Linked DNA regions of Macaca fascicularis. The protein of the gene in region 1 binds, or shares a complex with, the protein of each later gene. Links are inferred from orthologs where the notes say so. Each region holds a gene or a part of one and is shown in the gene's direction. Other genes may lie near its edges. The genes, in order: ANKS6 and ANKS3.

The links.
Region 2: the proteins of ANKS6 (region 1) and ANKS3 are in contact, whole or in part, in a crystal structure (PDB 4NL9), measured with the Homo sapiens proteins. The link is inferred for Macaca fascicularis from reciprocal best matches to the Homo sapiens genes ANKS6 and ANKS3. Residues at the interface, in NP_775822.3 of Homo sapiens: Glu796, Gln797, Glu798, Val799, Asp800, Glu802, Ala803, Thr806, Leu807, Asp811, Glu814, Leu815; in NP_597707.1 of Homo sapiens: Lys441, Tyr442, Thr470, Leu471, Phe472, Gly473, Pro474, Arg476, Lys477, Arg484.

The regions. Positions count from the first base shown.
Region 1 is NC_088389.1:59,343,281-59,347,089, forward strand, and holds part of ANKS6 (ankyrin repeat and SAM domain-containing protein 6), read left to right. Parts: intron 1-1,532; coding exon 1,533-1,577; intron 1,578-2,245; coding exon 2,246-2,450; intron 2,451-3,809.
Region 2 is NC_088394.1:5,514,479-5,518,287, reverse strand, and holds part of ANKS3 (ankyrin repeat and SAM domain-containing protein 3), read left to right. Parts: intron 1-1,374; coding exon 1,375-1,515; intron 1,516-2,079; coding exon 2,080-2,189; intron 2,190-2,438; coding exon 2,439-2,603; intron 2,604-3,757; exon of another isoform or gene 3,758-3,809. UniProt on the Homo sapiens protein: May be involved in vasopressin signaling in the kidney.

The DNA.
Region 1 (3,809 bases):
TGAGGCAGGAGAATCGCTTGAACCCGGGAGGTGGAGATTGCAGTGAGCGGAGATCTTGCCACTGCCCTCTAACCTGGGAGACAGGGCAAGACTCTGTCTCAAAAAAAAAAAAAAAAAAAAAAGGAATTCTGGGGTTCTGGCCTGGAGCGGTGGCTCACGCCTGCAATCCCAACAGTTTGGGAGGCCAAGGCGGGCAGATCACTCAAGGTCAGGAGTTAAAGACCAGCCTGGCCAACATGGCGAAACACTGTCTCTTACAAACATTAGCCAGGTGTGGTGGCATGTGCCTGTAATCCCAGCTACTCGGGAGGCTGAGGCACAAGAATCACTTGAACCCAGGAGGCAGAGGTTGCAGTGAGCCGAGATCACACCACTGCACTCCAGCCTGGGCAGCAGAGTGAGACTCCATCTCATAAAAAGAATTCTGGGGTCCACCTTGCTGGTTGCTAGTAAAGAAATAATTGTTCTTTGAATGGGGCTTTAACATTATCATTTGATCCCTGCAACAGCCAGATGAAAGGGATGTTATCCCCACATTTGTGATGAAGAGGCAGCTTACTCTAAAAATGCGCACTGAAATTCTTATGCACTGACTCCACACTCAGTGCTCCTTGCCCCGGGCTGCAGCTTCCTCCCAGCTGCTCAAGAGGGCTTATCTGGACCAGAGTCAGCCCAGATTCACAAGTTCCCTCTGGCAGCTGCTCCGTCCCCTGGGATCAGTTAAAGACTGCAGAAGGCCTGCCTTCAGCCCCCTAGCAAGCAGACTGGCCATGAGGATGCCTCCTCTGACAGGAGCAGGGTACCTGCTGGCCCAGGCTTGGAGGAAGGTGTGGGATGAGCATGTGAGAGAGGGGCTAGCATCTGGCAGCTGCAGCAAGGCTCAGCTGTGCAGGTAGGCATGGGGTCTGGCCCCAACCTAGCAGCTGGGCTTCAGGGTACAGCATGAAGATGCCCAGTTGGGCAGTGGCCTTTGGGCAGCTGTGTCTGCAGGTTTGGGGCAGGGAGCATGTTCTGATTGCTTCTTACATGGGAGGGAAAGAAAACATGAGCATTGGCTCTTCTGTTGGCTGTGTCTGTGAACTTCCGTAGAGCTCAGCTGCTCGGTATGTCAGCAGCAGATTTGGAATTATGATTGTATGTTTAGTTTTTAGAAGAAAAAAAATTTTTTTAAACAATGTCCATAGGAATCCAAGATTTTCCAAGACCCCAAGACTTTTCAGTATATCTAGGAAAGGATATGCCAACATTTGTTTTGCCTAAAAATGATTGCTTTATTTGCATGAGATCAGGGCCGTGATCTGCTGCTCTTTTGTGTTTTGTTGGCAAGATCTGTCTCTGAAGTGTTTTCAGATGTTCTTTGGTAATAGACCTTCCAGAAGGGCTGCTGGATTTGTCCATTACGTAGGTCTCCAATTAGATTGCTTTTGAGAATTAGATGCTTTTTAAAGCCAGGCTGTGTTGTTACACCCTTGTGACTTTTCTGTTATATTAAACCTTTCCGTGGTTAACTTTTAAAATCTTTGTTTACCCAGATGAAGAGAAAAGGCGACCTGATATTTTCCATGCATTGAAAATGGGTAAGCGCTTTAGAAGATCTTTTTGGATATTTAAGAATACAGAACTACATTCTCCCAACCTAATATTTGTAGTCCTTTGCAGGGCCACCCAGGTTATTTGAGAAAGAAACAGGCATTTTGGTGTTTGGTGTTTGGAAGTTCAGATCCTGGAGGCCAGTATTTATTATGGAGCTCTACACATAGACTCCAGAGGGCCTCCAGCCCCACTCCAGCCGAACACTGGCTAGCTATATGCCCCAGCTCTTCCTGCCTCTGAAATGCCTCTCTGCATACCCATTCCAGTCTCTTTGTGACAAAGAGACATTTAGCCTAAAATTTTCTCTCTTGATATAGACCCTTCCTCCAGGAAGCCTTTCCCGATCCTCACCCCACAGCAAGACCTGAATTCTCCTTCTGCCTTCTGTGTCCTTCATCTGTTCTCTGAAGACACTAACAATACTTCTGTCTTTTAGTAACACTTCTACCCATTCGTGTGCTTGTCTCTGTCCCGCCTAGACTGAGGCATTTGAGAGTCAGCGCTATCTCTGACCCCCTCTTAGTATCCCCTATGGTGCCCAGCAGCCCACTGCAGAGGCAGGGCCAGCAAGTGTTGGTTACGTGAACCACAGGATAAATCAGCTTATGGTCCCAGGCCCACAGATCACCCAGACTCTTGCTTGTGTTTGTAGGAAACTTCCAGCTGGTCAAAGAGATTGCCGATGAAGACCCCAGCCACGTGAACTTGGTCAATGGGGACGGGGCGACGCCCCTGATGCTAGCAGCTGTTACAGGGCAGCTGGCTCTGGTGCAGCTACTGGTGGAGAGGCACGCGGATGTTGACAAGCAGGACAGCGTGCATGGCTGGACAGCCCTCATGCAGGCGACCTACCATGGGTCAGTGCCAGCTCCACGCCCTCAGCAACAAGGCCAGACATATGTTCTGGCCTGAGATGGGGGTTTCCAGTGGGCTCTTCTGGTCCTGAGATGCTGCATACAAACCCCAGGACTGTGACGACATTGAGGCATGCAAAAAAAAAAAAAAAAAAAAAAAAAAGAAAAGAAAAAAATGAAAGCGGCACAGGTTCATTTTATTTCCACCCTTCTGTGTCCAGATTTCCTGTTCTCCCATCACAGAATTTCACCAGTGGCCATGAAAAACCATGCAGCAGAAGCATTTTATGCAGAGAGATAAGGTTCTCTAGGTTGGTTTCAGTTGAACACAATGACTGGTTCATTGGAGTTTTCACACTGAGATATAGTGACCTCCTTAAGTAGCCCCTGTATGAAGTAAACATTGGTGATTCATACCATTGTCATCTTGTGATGATTGATGGTGAGATGTGTCCTACCTCTCTCCTTTTGAATAAGCTTCAGTGTTTACAGGGTGCTTATGAACCCCTTCTTATGTGATCATCCCAGCAGGGTGGGCTGTCATCCTCCTGGAGGCCTCCTCTTTGGGGTGGGCATCTTGTAGCTGCTAAGTTATCTGATTCCCAATTAGAGGTTCTTTCCTTACCCTCTTTTAGGTGATTAGATCACTTTCCTGTGTCATCTGAAAGCAGTTTGTTTTCTTCTTCGATGAGCATTGAATTCCAAGATGAAATTTTATTTCAGACACCTTGGTCTGTAGGAGACTTACCCAATGGACATGTCCTGGTTTAGGGTGGAAGAAGTGGGGTCTCCCATGGGGTCAGTGATTTTTGGGCAGAGCCCTTGGTTTGGTCCTCTTCCCCTTCCCCTTTCCCTTTCCCTTCCCCTTCCCCTTCCCCTTCCCTTCCCCTTCCCTTCTGTTTCCGACAGTATCTCACTTTGTTGCCAGGCCGGAGTGCAGTAGCGTGATCATGGCTCACTACAGCCTTGACCTCCCAGACTCAAGCAATCCTCCTGCCTCAGTCTCTCAAGTAGCTGGGACTACAGGCTTGCACCACCACACCCAGCTGATTTTTAAACAAAATTTTTGGTAGAGACAAGGCCCCCCATGTTGCCCAGGCTGGTCTCAAACTCCTGGGCTCAAGCCATCCTCCCGCCTTTGCTTCCCAAAGTGGTGGGATTACAAGTGTGAGCCACCACATCTAGCCTCGGTTTTCATTTTGTTCCTGGAAGGAACACTTAGACTTTGATTTAAATCATGTTCCCGCTTGACCTGCCCACGTGCTAGGGAATGAGAGAATGAGACTGTTTGCCCTTCCATGCCCTTCTTAAATGCTCAGAGACTGAGCCTTGTAGTTAATGTTGTTGGTTTTGTTGCCCAGG
Region 2 (3,809 bases), on another chromosome or scaffold:
TGCCTGTAGCCCTAGCCCCAGCTACATGAGAAGCTGAGGTGGAAGGATTGTTTGAACCCAGGAGGTCAAAGCTGTAGTGAGCCATGATGGTGCCATTGCATTCCAGTCTATATAACAGAGCAAGACCCTGACTCAAAAAAAGTTTAGGGGGCAATGATAAATAGCACGTGCTGATTGTAAAAACTTCTCCATAACTAGGAAAATATGTAAAGAAGTAAGTTAGTTCCCCATGGTCCCACCAACCAGTCCTTTGGGTTCTTTTTTGAGACAGGGTTTCACTGTAGCCCAGGCTGCGGTGCAGTGGCACGATCATAGCTCACTGCAGGCTCCAATTCCTGAGCTCAAGCGATCCTCCTGTCTCAGCTTCCTGAGTAGCTGAGATTACAGACGTGTGCCACCGTGCCTGGTCAAGTCAGTCTTTTTATATAAATAAAGGGGCAAAACTGGAGTGAAATTGCCTGGTATGCATGCCCCCCCTTTTTTTTTTTATTTTTGAGACGGAGTCTCGCTCTGTCGCCCAGGCTGGAGCGCAGTGGCCGGATCTCAGCTCACTGCAAGCTCTGTCTCCCGGGTTTACGCCATTCTCCTCCCTCAGCCTCCTGAGTAGCTGGGACTACAGGCGCCCGCCACCTTACCCAGCTAGTTTTTTGTAGTTTTTAGTAGAGACGGGGTTTCACCGGGTTAGCCAGGATGGTCTCGATCTCCTGACCTCATGATCCGCCCGTCTCGGCCTCCCAAAGTGCTGGGATTACAGGCTTGAGCCACCGCCCCCGGCCGCATGCCCCTTTTTCTGCTTGGTTTTAGAGGAAGGTAGAGTTAGGTAATATCATATTATTGCCGTTAATTTTTAGCCCAAGGCCTTTTTCCTTCCTGCTCAGCCAGATCTCTTTTTCGCTGGGGTTGACTGGCCCGAGGAGCCCGCTAAGAGCCTATGGTTAAAGGTCATAGGGACATAAAGACACCTGGTTGACGGGTGTCTGTGTGAGGTCATTAGATACCTCCTGCTAAAAGGAACACTAGTGGTGTAGTTTCCTCTGGTCAGGCATCTGTAAATACAGCTTACCATCTCCTACGTTTTCCCTTTGAAAAAGAGGTTGCTCGGTACAAAGGAGAGGGCCCAGGCTTGACCTGGCTGTCAGCCCTGGCCCCACCATGCACTTGTCTGGCCCACTCACTGACCCTCAGAGTGACTTCTCCACCCACACACCACAGATAGAGCCATGCCAGGTCGCAGGGGCAAGTAGGTGAGGTCATGAGCGGGAAGTCGCCTGCCTCCATCCGGGGCCTTGGCCTCTGAGGCGGTGGGGGCATCTGGAACCAGGATCGGCTTCACTTTGGAGTTCCCTGGGCTTATGGGCTCTATTCTGTACACAGAGCAGGCTCCTCCCCGGGGCTATGTCACCTTCAGCAGCAGTGGTGAGAACGCCCTGGAAGAAGAGGGCCTCTGCTGCCGGGACGTCACCTCCCCCATCAACGAGCGGGACGTGGAGAGCAGCAGCAGCAGCAGCAGCCGGGGTATGTGCACCCCCACCCCTGTCCAGCCCGCGGCTCGGGCAGGTCCTGGAGCTCCTGTGTGCCCGTCCCCACTTATCCACTGGGCTTGGTGCTGGGACACAGCCCCGCCATCCAGCAGAGGACAGGCACAGGGGAGGCGTGGGCAGCCCTGGTTCTTGTGAGGAATGGGAGAAGCTTCTGTTCCAGCGTCCCCGTGCAGCCTGGGGGAGCCACTCCACACCAACAGGTTTAGCTGCTTGCTTGGGAGCCCCCTGAGGCTTTCCGGACAGGCTCCAAGAGGAATGTCCTGTTATAACTGCACCTCCGTGCAGCAGCTGCTCACATAGTGCCCACCGTACGCCAAGCCCTGCCCTGGCTGCTTGGGATTTATCAGTGAACAAAAAACAAGCCCTGCCCGTCTGTATAGAGGGGAGGGTTTAGAACAGGCAGGAAGCTTGAAACATAAGGAAGCAACCGCGGCAGGCCCCAAGGAGTGCCCTGGTGGAGGTGGCTCAGCCCGGGGCACGCCCATGCACAGCACCGCGGTGAGGCCTGCAGGCGGACGCCCTGTCTGTCCGCCCTCAGAGGAACATGCTTTCTGTGCCAACCTGGAGCCTGTCCAGAGCAGCAGCAGCAGCGAGGGCCTGGCCAGAGCCCAGGGGCTCAGCAGCGAAGCTTCTGTGGAGAGCAATGAGGTGCGGATTCTTTCTCGTTCTCCCATAGCCGGTCCCTGGCTGGGATGCCTAACATCCCCGTTACTTTAAGATGAGAACGTCCGTAACAAGCACGTGCTACACGTGTGTGCCGCGCTGGGACGTGCTGTGTCCAGGGCCTGGCTTCTCAGACGACAGCGAATGCACTGGAAGCCCGTGTGGCGGGTGGGGGTTCACCACGGCTCTCCAGTCAGTCCGTGCGCTCCTTCAGATACATGGCTCTCACCGCAGGACTCGGACCACGCCTGTAAAAGCTCAGCTCGCAAACAAGCTAAAAGTTACGTGAAGACCAAGAATCCTGACAGCCAGTGGCCTCCCCGCACTGGGACTGACGGGGAAGACTTTCCCCTTGAGTCCAGCCCCCAGACTCAGAGGGCCCCCTACTCAGGACCGCAGGTAAGACCGCTTGTGAAACTGGAGGTTACACTCAGAGACGGCACTTTTTGTGACTTATGAGGCATGTGTTGTGTATGTAACGTGCCAGGCTGCTTGGAGAACGGAATGGCCGTGGCGTCCCCATGGCCTGGTAGGCTCTGCAGGCTCACGGCCGGCTCCGTGGCTGACGGCCCAGCTGCACGGCTTCTGCTGTGTTCCAAGGACCTGTCTCCCTGCTTCCCATACTGGAGCTGGCTCCCCTGAGCCTGGGGAGAAGAAACACACCTGACCTCAGAGCTGCCTGCGGGAGTCTGACGGGATGCCGCTGAAGCAGAGACAGGGACCACACACGGTGTGTGCTTGGTGATGGTTACAGCTGCCACCATCCTCATCCTTGCTGTGGTCCCTCTGACCATGCATTACCTTAGGGATGACAGGTGTGACTCACAGCTCAGCTGTGTCACCTGTGTCTGCTGAGTTCTCCTACCCTGTGCAGTCAGAAGAGACACGGAGAAGAGAGGCAGAGGGAAGCTCTGGTGGGTTATTTGTTTTTTTTTCTTTGAGATGGAGTCTCGCACTGTCATTGGGCTGGAGTGCAGTGGCGCGATCTCGGCTCACTACAACCTCCGCCTCCCGGGTTCAAGTGATTCTCCTGCCTCAGCCTCCCAAGTAGCTGGGATTACAGGCACGTGTCACCATGTCCGGCTAATTTTTTGTATTTTTAGTAGAGATGGGGTTTCACTGTGTTGGCCAGGCTGGTCTCAGGCTCCTGACCTTGTGATCTGCCTGCCTTGGCCTCTCAAAGTGCTGGGATTACATGCATGAGCCGCCACGCCCGGCATGGCTGGTTATTTGTTAAAGCACCGGCTGTGCTGTTCAGTAGAGCCTTGCTATGCCGGCTTCTCCCTGCAGCCCCCGGCTCAGTGAACAGGCGCACACCTCGGTCCCTTCAACACACACTGAGTGGAGTCTGGTCTGGGTAGTGTCCTAAGTATGTTTCTTTCAGAAAACAGCTTGAGGCAAATGGCAGAGTAACATTCGTTTCTCCATTAAAAGCAATAAACTCTCAAAAGTAGGATTTCTGGAGTTGAAAAGTAAACTGAAATGAAAATATCACTAGACGGGCTCACAGCAGAATTGAGCAGGCAGAAGAAACAGAAAACTTGTGAACACAGGTCACCTGAGATCATCTCGCTTGAGGAACAGAAAGAAAGAGTGAAAAAAATG